Kluyveromyces lactis: one gene and its partners. The main gene of each other region encodes a partner of the protein of the gene in region 3 in a complex. Links are inferred from orthologs where the notes say so. Each region holds a gene or a part of one and is shown on either strand. Other genes may lie near its edges. The genes, in order: GET4, GET2 and GET3.

What was found.
Region 1: the proteins of GET3 (region 3) and GET4 are in contact, whole or in part, in a crystal structure (PDB 5BWK), measured with the Saccharomyces cerevisiae proteins. The link is inferred for Kluyveromyces lactis from reciprocal best matches to the Saccharomyces cerevisiae genes GET3 and GET4. Residues at the interface, in NP_010183.1 of Saccharomyces cerevisiae: Val5, Phe230, Pro233, Asp234, Glu253, Gln257, Ile260, Ser261, Asp263, Asp265, Val266, Asn267, Glu304, Leu305, Tyr306, Glu307, Asp308, Phe309; in NP_014807.3 of Saccharomyces cerevisiae: Ala11, Lys12, Thr16, Arg19, Lys23, Gln34, Thr35, Ile39, Arg42, Tyr43, Arg45, Ser46, Ser48, His51.
Region 2: the proteins of GET3 (region 3) and GET2 are in contact, whole or in part, in a crystal structure (PDB 3ZS9), measured with the Saccharomyces cerevisiae proteins. The link is inferred for Kluyveromyces lactis from reciprocal best matches to the Saccharomyces cerevisiae genes GET3 and GET2. Residues at the interface, in NP_010183.1 of Saccharomyces cerevisiae: Val5, Ser11, Pro233, Phe246, Leu249, Tyr250, Glu253, Arg254, Ile256, Gln257, Ile260, Asp265, Val266, Asn267, Gln301, Glu304, Leu305, Tyr306, Glu307, Asp308, Phe309, His310; in NP_011006.2 of Saccharomyces cerevisiae: Lys9, Arg10, Leu13, Arg14, Arg16, Arg17, Lys20, Phe21, Ala26, Arg29, Leu30, Lys32, Ile33, Thr34, Gln36, Ala37.

Annotation. Positions count from the first base shown.
Region 1 is NC_006042.1:1,886,847-1,889,695, forward strand, and holds GET4 (protein GET4), read right to left. Parts: upstream 1,559-2,849; coding exon 650-1,558; downstream 1-649. Other genes in the region: polyphosphatase DDP1, read left to right, coding at 68-607; dynamin-like GTPase SEY1, read left to right, coding at 1,957-2,849. UniProt on the Saccharomyces cerevisiae protein: May play a role in insertion of tail-anchored proteins into the endoplasmic reticulum membrane.
Region 2 is NC_006039.1:799,864-802,614, reverse strand, and holds GET2 (GET complex subunit GET2), read right to left. Parts: upstream 1,604-2,751; coding exon 653-1,603; downstream 1-652. Other genes in the region: KLLA0_C09218g (VOC family protein), read left to right, coding at 1-437; SEC28 (coatomer subunit epsilon), read right to left, coding at 1,914-2,751. UniProt on the Saccharomyces cerevisiae protein: Required for the post-translational delivery of tail-anchored (TA) proteins to the endoplasmic reticulum.
Region 3 is NC_006041.1:143,359-146,478, forward strand, and holds GET3 (guanine nucleotide exchange factor GET3), read left to right. Parts: upstream 1-1,408; coding exon 1,409-2,458; downstream 2,459-3,120. Other genes in the region: BUG1 (Bug1p), read right to left, coding at 1-855; ATG16 (Atg16p), read right to left, coding at 2,911-3,120. UniProt on the Saccharomyces cerevisiae protein: ATPase required for the post-translational delivery of tail-anchored (TA) proteins to the endoplasmic reticulum. Recognizes and selectively binds the transmembrane domain of TA proteins in the cytosol.

The DNA of each region.
Region 1 (2,849 bases), on a different chromosome or scaffold from region 3:
CTTGTGTACCCTGTTGATGAAATCGGTCTGAGAAACAGTCTATATATATAGTATTAAGGAACCGAAGATGTCAGACTTTATCAAGACCGACACCTCAAGAGTAGGACGTGAGAATCAGTTGTATTCAAGTGTCACTGGTGCTAGACTCGTTGCAGGATGTATAATACTGGATGAAAGCCGAGAGAATGTCTTAATGGTCCAGTCATCCGCTCATAAGAAGAGATGGGTGTTGCCAAAGGGTGGTATTGAAAGTGATGAACCTGACTTTGAGTCCGCTGCAAGAAGAGAGACCTGGGAAGAAGCTGGTGCCACAGGCGATATAGTGAAAGCACTTGGTTCCATTGAGGATATGAGACCTCCAAAGGACTGGAACCCAGATTTGGAAGCATTCGAGAGTTCGAATGACGAAACTGTTAACAAATGGCCTCCCAGGTCCGAATTCCATTTCTTCGAGATGATTAATGTTAAATTGGAGGACAATTATCCTGAAGTGAAGACAAGAAACCGTCAATGGTTCTCCTACGAACAGGCCAAAGAAAACTTGACCCGTGCCAAGAGGCCAGAGCTCATTGAGGCTCTGAATAGAAGTAGCATCAAGAAAAGTTAGCATTATATATAACATAGAGTATGTTTATACCGAAGACTATTATTATTTACCTCCAAAGAAACCAGACATCATATCTTGCAAGAAGTTGATTGGTTTCTCGACCTTGATACCGAAGTATTCTTGGCCCAAGAATTGTAGCTCAGAGTTGTATTTGTTGGCAAGAGTTGAGTATTGTGATTTTAGATTCTGGAAAAGAATAGTTTCTTGAGTTTGACATGCGATTATTAACAACTGTAAAAAGTTCAACGATTCCCACGATGAGAAATAATCAATCTTATATGGGCCTTTCTCTGTTAACTCAAATTTTACATCTGTCTTGTGATTGGTAAACCGTTTTAAAAGTTCTTTAGATCCCTCCAATGCATATTCGATATTGAAGATGAACAAATAGTTGAATATCATTCTTGATATGAAATCGGGGAAACTGGAGTCCTCACCGGATTGCTGATACCAGTCCCAAAGTAGATCCACATACCGCTTCATCGAGTCATGAGTACCTAGCACTAGATATCTTTCCGCTTCGTATGTATATCCACCTTCAAGTAATTTTGTAGCGATCGCTGAATGTAAGTATGGGTCACCAAACTTATATTCACTATGTTTCACAGACCAATTGTTCATCCCTGTCACTACATCCTTTAAATTTGGTTCCTGGCCGTCAACGAGGACGAGTAATTGAATGAGTCTAGAGACCGAAGAGTCATTGCATGGAACCGATGCCAAATCGTAAACTTCAAGTAGATAGAAGATCAAATCTGAACCAGAACCACCTTGCTTGGACCTCAAAAACGCACCGGCTGCATGAGAAATCAAATCAATCGATTCATCATACTTTTTGGCCCGCACATATCTATTAGCAATGGTTCTTAACGTCTGATGGGCTTCATAATAATCACCAGCTTCAATTCTCGCATTGAATCTCTGTAAGGTCTTCGTTAATTTATCACTCATCTCTAAGTGTCTCGATCAAAAAACAATTAAGGTATGTAAAAACTCGCCTAACGGATTCAAAAGGCCTCTTGATAAGTACAAAATAACTTGATTCTGAGAAACACGAAAGCTGTGGTTCACTCGTTGGACCTTTACAATATGATCATGTTCTTTCTTTCTCTTCCTGGCGAAATTTCGGACCGTTAAAATATTGAAACTCAACAAAACCAATATTGAAATTGACTCGTTCATTAACTATTCTGATGAAAGATAGGGTAAAGGACAATAACAGCTGGAGCAGCAGCTGAGCTATATTGCCAAGGGATTTAATTACAATTTAGAACCGAGTAATATCTGCTTAGTGAGGTGATACATTTCGTTTTTGTTACATTATTAAGGGAACGCTGTCAAACAGTAGCATGAGTGATCTCAAAGAAGCTATTCAGCTCATCGATGAGAACAAACAATTCAATCCCTCGACATTGAACTATTTCACGAAGTGCCTTGGGGATAAAAATGTTGGAGTAAAGTATCATGTCATATCTGTTTTTGGATCGCAATCAAGTGGTAAATCGACGTTATTGAATAAATTGTTCGATACAAAATTCGATACCATGGATGCACAGGTTAAACGACAACAGACTACTAGAGGTATTTGGTTATCCCATTCTGCCAATATATACAGCTCTGGAGCTGCCAACCAATCCATTCCTGATTTCTTTGTTTTGGATGTCGAAGGTTCGGATGGTGCGGAGAGAGGTGAGGATCAAGACTTTGAAAGGAAAGCTGCTCTATTTGCATTATCAGTGTCCGAGGTTCTAATCGTGAATATGTGGGAAAACCAGGTCGGGCTATACCAGGGGAATAACATGGGGTTGTTGAAAACGGTTTTCGAGGTGAATCTTTCGTTATTTGGCAAGAATGAAAATCGTCACAAGGTAGCATTGCTGTTTGTCATTAGAGATTTTACCGGCCAAACACCATTGGAAAGTTTAGAAGCCAGTCTTGTCCTGGAATTAGAAAAAATGTGGTCACAGCTAAGTAAGCCTGAAGGTTGTGAAGATACATCTTTCCATGATTTTTTCGTTCCAAATTTCTTCGGTTTGGGCCACAAGGTCTTCCAACCTGAACAGTTTGATAATGATGTGAAGAGTTTGGGTGACTTGTTCGTTGACCAAGATGCCTCTTTCTTCAAAGATGAATACCATACTCACTTGCCATTGGATGGATGGTCTCTTTATGCAGAAAACTGCTGGGAACAAATTGAGAATAACAAAGATCTTGATTTGCCGACCCAGCAGATTCTCGTAGC
Region 2 (2,751 bases), on a different chromosome or scaffold from region 3:
AATCACTAAGTAGCTTCAGTGAGAATCAAACAATCTCATATACCGCAATCATGTTCAGCCACGTTACCTTTGGGTCCAATGATCTTGAGAAAGCAAGAAAATTCTACGATGCCGTTCTTGGCGTCATTGGTGTTGCTCCCGCACAGGATGACAGTGATGGAAATGGACACAAGAGGTTGTTCTATGCTAAAGGCGACTTTTTCCTTTTAGTCACTCAACCAATTAATGACCAAGCTGCCACTCCAGGTAACGGTTATACCATTGGTTTCAAATGTGACTCTGAAGAAGAAGTTACAAAGTTCCACGATGTTGCAGTTGCTAACGGCGGTACTTCTATCGAGGATGCACCTGGTTACCGTCCATCGGGCTTGTTCTTGTCTTACGTTCGTGACGTCGATGGTAACAAGTTGTGTGCCCTTTACCAACCACCAAAATAAGCATTTCGTCTTGGTGTAGTGCTTTGCTCTTTTGTGTATGATATAAGTAGGCTTTAAATAGTTCTATGAATGAAATGAAAACATACTAAAGCGTTCTTTTAAGTGGAAGTACAACACATATTCATGTTTAAGGGAATAAACAATTGATAATTAGAATTATATAGTTTTGATCGTTAATGAACGAGTTTCCATTTTCACAACCAAAAGATACTTTTCTATTGAATCCCTGCAATCGGTGGTTCTATTGGAACTGAAATAGGGAATGACGAATGATAATATTTCATGACACCGAATAACACAAGAACAAAGCATATATCTGTCACGTACATTGACGCTACGTCAAAATACTCTAATGCAAGACCGATCTTTCCTTGAATGTTCCTAATAGGTAAAATGCCTTCTGGTATCATTGTCAGATACTTCAAAATGCCTCCTGCGTTTTGGGTGGCCGTAACATTGTTATCTCTTTGAAGTTTCTTCAACATTTGATAGTAGATAGAGATGAATACTATTTCTAGTCCGGTAAAGATGGAGAAGAAGTTCGATCTTTCCACTATTTGGGATAACAAGTTGGAAGCTTGAAGAACAGTGGGATTGGGATGCATGATAAAGTAGACGTATGGTGCAAGAAGAGCCCATTTTATTAAAATGATGTAGGATTTCAATTTGGACACTTTGAACTTGTAATACTTCAAGACTTTCTCATCAACAAAATTAGGGAGCATCTGTGTAGCAGAAGCAGTAGTATTCGTATCGTTGTTTAGCAAAGAACTGAAAAGGTCCGGTGTACTGGCATCTGGTGATCCATTTTGGAATCCTCCACCTTGTTGTTGCATCTTAAGCAACTGTTGGAAAAGGGCAACCTCAGGATTCGTTTCAGCGGCATCAGTTTCAGAATTGTCCTTGTTACCGGGAATACTAGAAAGTAAATCTTGAATCTCTTTGGTAGACTTTTCAACTTCTTCGTCACTCACATTGGATGATTTCTTGTTACCTGACGGAGTAACTTTTGGCTCATCAAGAACAGATGTTGAAGACAAAAAGCTATTCTGCTGTTGACCAGTGATCTTGTTCAACCTGCTGGAAGCACCTCCGTTGGAAAACTTCTGTTGCCTTCTTTCCCTCAACAATTTACGTTTCTCAGCATCAGACAATTCAGTAGCCATCTTGTAAACTCCAAATTCTGTGTGAATTACAGCTCAATTCGGGGGAAACTAAAGTAGAATTAGATCGACAATCAAAATAAGAAGATCAACTCCCCTGAATATTCGAACTAAATACAACGCAGGTGCCTTGTAAAACGATACCGAGTGACTGGTTTCAAAACTAACCCTTCACATTGTATAGGATGTTTGATCAATCCGCTTTATCTTGACAGTTCCCACGAAATTGATGGGAAAAAGAACAATGTTACCCGGAAAGTATCGCCAATACCAATACTATTTGCTACTCAAGATCTATTTGATATATATAGATTTAGGCTGTGTACTTTGCCACAATTTGATCGAAAGTCTTGTTATTTTCAAGGTCGGCAACACATAGTGGGTGAGATGGTTTCAATTGTTGCAATTCCGATCTCAATTCGTTTGCATTTCCACCAGATAAGATGGTGTACGTAATCTTATTTGCAAGTAGATCAGGCTTGTACGTTTGTGCTTCTTGTTTGATATCGTAGAACTCGCTTTCTAAGAGGTCGATGATTGCTTTGGATTCAGGCAAATGCGATTGTTGGAGGTGTAAATTCAATAGGCCTAATTGAGTCTTCCAACTTGGGAAAGTTTGAGACAACTCTTCAAAGAAATAGAAATTGGATCCAGTGATCTCTTTACCCTGGTTGAAGTTGATGTATGACTCTGCAAGATTCAAAATTATTTCATCGTCGTTCGATTGCTCCTGAAGTGCTTGGAAATTTTCAAACATAGTCGAGGCAATGGTTGGTTGATTATCCAACAAAGTTATTTGGATGGCCGTTAACAGTAGTTCCGGGGTTCCTCTTGTTTCATCGGAGTCAATTCCTTCAACGGCAACCTCCAAAGCAGTTTTAAACTCGCCCTTTATAGTCAATGCACTTGCTAATAAGTTCAATGCAAATGGAGATCTGCCCGCCTTTTCAACGGTTTGTTCTAGTGCAGTGATTGAGCCTGTAGGTTTGCTTAAAAATTTATAGTAAGCCTCAAATACAGGCCCAAGTGAGCCAGAATCAGCACTACCCTCACTGAACTGGGACAATGCAATCAATGATCTATTTCTGTAGTAAGTCAACGCCTCATCTTCAGTTTTGTTAAACTTAGAAACTTCGTTCAACGCTTCTTCA
Region 3 (3,120 bases):
CTGAATCTGTCTCGATGGCTCGAATTTGGATGGAGAATGTCTATCAAAGGAAGAGAATTCCACAGGGGTTAGTTGTGGTGATTGTGTTGCTCTAAGCTGCTCTACTTCTTGTCTAGACGTAGATAGCTCCTGCTGAGCGGACAGCAATTGTACAGTTTTATCATTGAGTTGAGATTTCATGATGTTTATCTGTTCTTCAAGCTCTTCTATGGAGCTTTCTTGATCTATGTTGACAAACTTCAATTGCTTTACTTGATCTTTTAGCTTTGAAACTTCTTCCTTGAGGTTTATTACTTCATCTTGGCTTTTCTGTTCTTGTATCGTCGAAAGGAAATCTTTCTCTTTATCATCATTCCCGCCAAACAATTCTTCAACTTCATCTGTACTTTTTGCCTCTATTGGTTCTTCCTCTTTTTGTTGAACTGCAAAAGCTTCTTTAGACACTTCCTCGGTTGGGTTGGGTATATCAGTTGCTTCCTTCTCGAGGACTTCCTCCTCGGAGTCTTTCTTGTTCTCCGCAGACTCTTTTTCAGACTTCTCCACAGACTCCTTTTCAAACTTCTCTTCGTTGTTGTCATTGCCCTTTGCATCAGCATTTATCTCAGCCTTTTCTTCAGCTTTTGTCTCTTCCACGATTGGTTGTTCATCTGAATGAACCGGACTCTCTGATACATTAGTATCAGTCGGTTCCAATTCAGTTTCAGTTTCAGTTTTGACTTCAGCTGCTTCAAGATCTTCCTTGTCCTTCTTCTTCTTATTCTTCTTGTTTTTATTCTTCTTCTTTAACTCTTCAACCCTTATCTTGGCTTCTTCGAGCTTTCTGGCTCTTTCTTCCTCGGGGGATAGTTCAGACATAATCAACTGTTCGAATGTGTGTACTCACTTGCATTGAAGACGCCAATTGGTTTTAATATTTAGCTCGCAATTGTTTCAGATTTGGCATTCACCATGTAAATTCTTATTTCATATGGGGCAACTTTTTTTTTTGATCTAAACGTGTCGTTATGGTTCACACATATTTAATAAGAAAGGAATCACCATCATTGAGGCAAACATCGATCAAATAATATCGTTTAATTTCACAATGTTTCAAAGCCATTTAGGTTCGAAAGAGAACAAGATTCAAGACTTTTTGAGAAGCAAACTCAAAGTATTTGTACCATGTTCTTTATTATTCGGTATGCGATTGGTAAATATCAAATTATTATCACCACCGTATATAGTGACGTGTTCTTTAAAAGAACGTAGAAGAAGTCTTCAGCAAGATATTTAGCATTTGTTGTCACTTTTAGTGGCGACATGCGTAGATAAACAGAAGTTTTACAACTAAGACGCCCTCTTATTTCAACTGTAGGAATAACAATCAGTAAGTGTGTAAACCTGAGACCAAGTAAAGCGGAAAAGTACAATGGATTTAACAGTTGAACCAGATCTAAACTCTTTGATAACTTCCTCAACACACAGATGGATATTTGTCGGTGGTAAGGGTGGTGTCGGTAAGACGACGTCATCTTGTTCGATTGCCATTCAAATGGCTTTGGCACAACCAGAGAAACAATATCTATTGATTTCTACAGATCCTGCACACAATTTAAGCGACGCCTTCGGTGAGAAGTTTGGTAAAGATGCAAGAAAAGTCACTGGGATGAACAACTTGTCATGTATGGAGATTGACCCTTCTGCCGCTTTGAAGGATATGAATGATATGGCTGTTGCCAATAATGCAACTGGATCGGGAGAGTTCAGTGATCTTTTGCAAGGTGGTGCACTATCTGAATTGACAGGATCGATTCCAGGTATTGATGAGGCACTTTCTTTCATGGAAGTGATGAAACACATCAAAAACCAAGAACAGGGTGAAGGTGACAGGTATGATACCGTTATTTTTGATACCGCACCAACAGGTCACACTCTAAGGTTTTTACAGTTACCAAGCACTCTATCTAAACTCTTGGAGAAATTCGGAGAAATCACTGCAAGATTGGGACCAATGTTGAATTCTTTGGCTGGTGCCAATAACGTCGATCTTGTTGGTAAAATGAGTGAATTGAAGTCTAATGTGGAAAAAATCAAGGAACAATTCACCAATCCTGATATGACAACTTTTGTCTGTGTTTGTATCAGTGAGTTCTTGTCTTTGTACGAAACTGAAAGATTGGTACAGGAATTGATCTCATACGATATGGACGTGAACTCCATCATTGTAAACCAGTTATTATTTGCTGAGTATGACGAAGGAGACAGCTGTAAAAGGTGCCAATCCAGATGGAAGATGCAAAAGAAGTATTTGGACCAAATTGATGAATTGTACGAAGATTTCCATATCGTTAAGATGCCATTGTGTGCAGGTGAAATTAGAGGTTTAAACAACTTGAAAAAATTCTCCCAATTCTTGAGAAAACCATACGATCCAGTTGCAGACAGCAAAGTGATTTATGAATTGGAACAACAAGACTGAAAGGAAGATAAATATGAATCATTGATACCTAGCATTACACGGCCAATCTATAATTTTTTATTATTTGTACACTAAATAATTGCAGAGCAGATTCTAAATTGAATCATTGCATCGAATTAGCCTCTATAATGTAGCATTAAACATCTACTTTAGTTGCAACATGAAAACATTATTACTTCAGGCTTCGTGATAGTAAACGAAAAGATCCGAAAGCTAAAAAAATTTTGGTAAATTGAAATGCTCCAGGGGAGGTTCGAACTCTCGACCTTCAGATTATGAGACTGACGCTCTTCCGACTGAGCTACTGAAGCAAATTTCTTGGAAAACTGAATTTTTAAAGAGTTTCATGCACTTGGGATTTGATGTACCATTGAGTCGCAGGGAATTAACTTCAAATCACTTATAAAACTCGCAACTCATTTATAACTTGAGGCATATAGAGTATGTCATATCTATTTAAGTCTCGTATTCATGATATCGGCCTCTCTTTGTGCTTTTAGTAACCATCGTTCAATCAAGGTGTCATATTCTGCTTGAATGTGTGTCAACCTTTCCTGTAAAAGATTGTTTTCTATGTTGATGCTGATCAATTCGTCATTCAAACGCTCAGCATCTCGATTTTTTACACTAATAACATCATGTAGTTGCCTTATTTCCTCTTC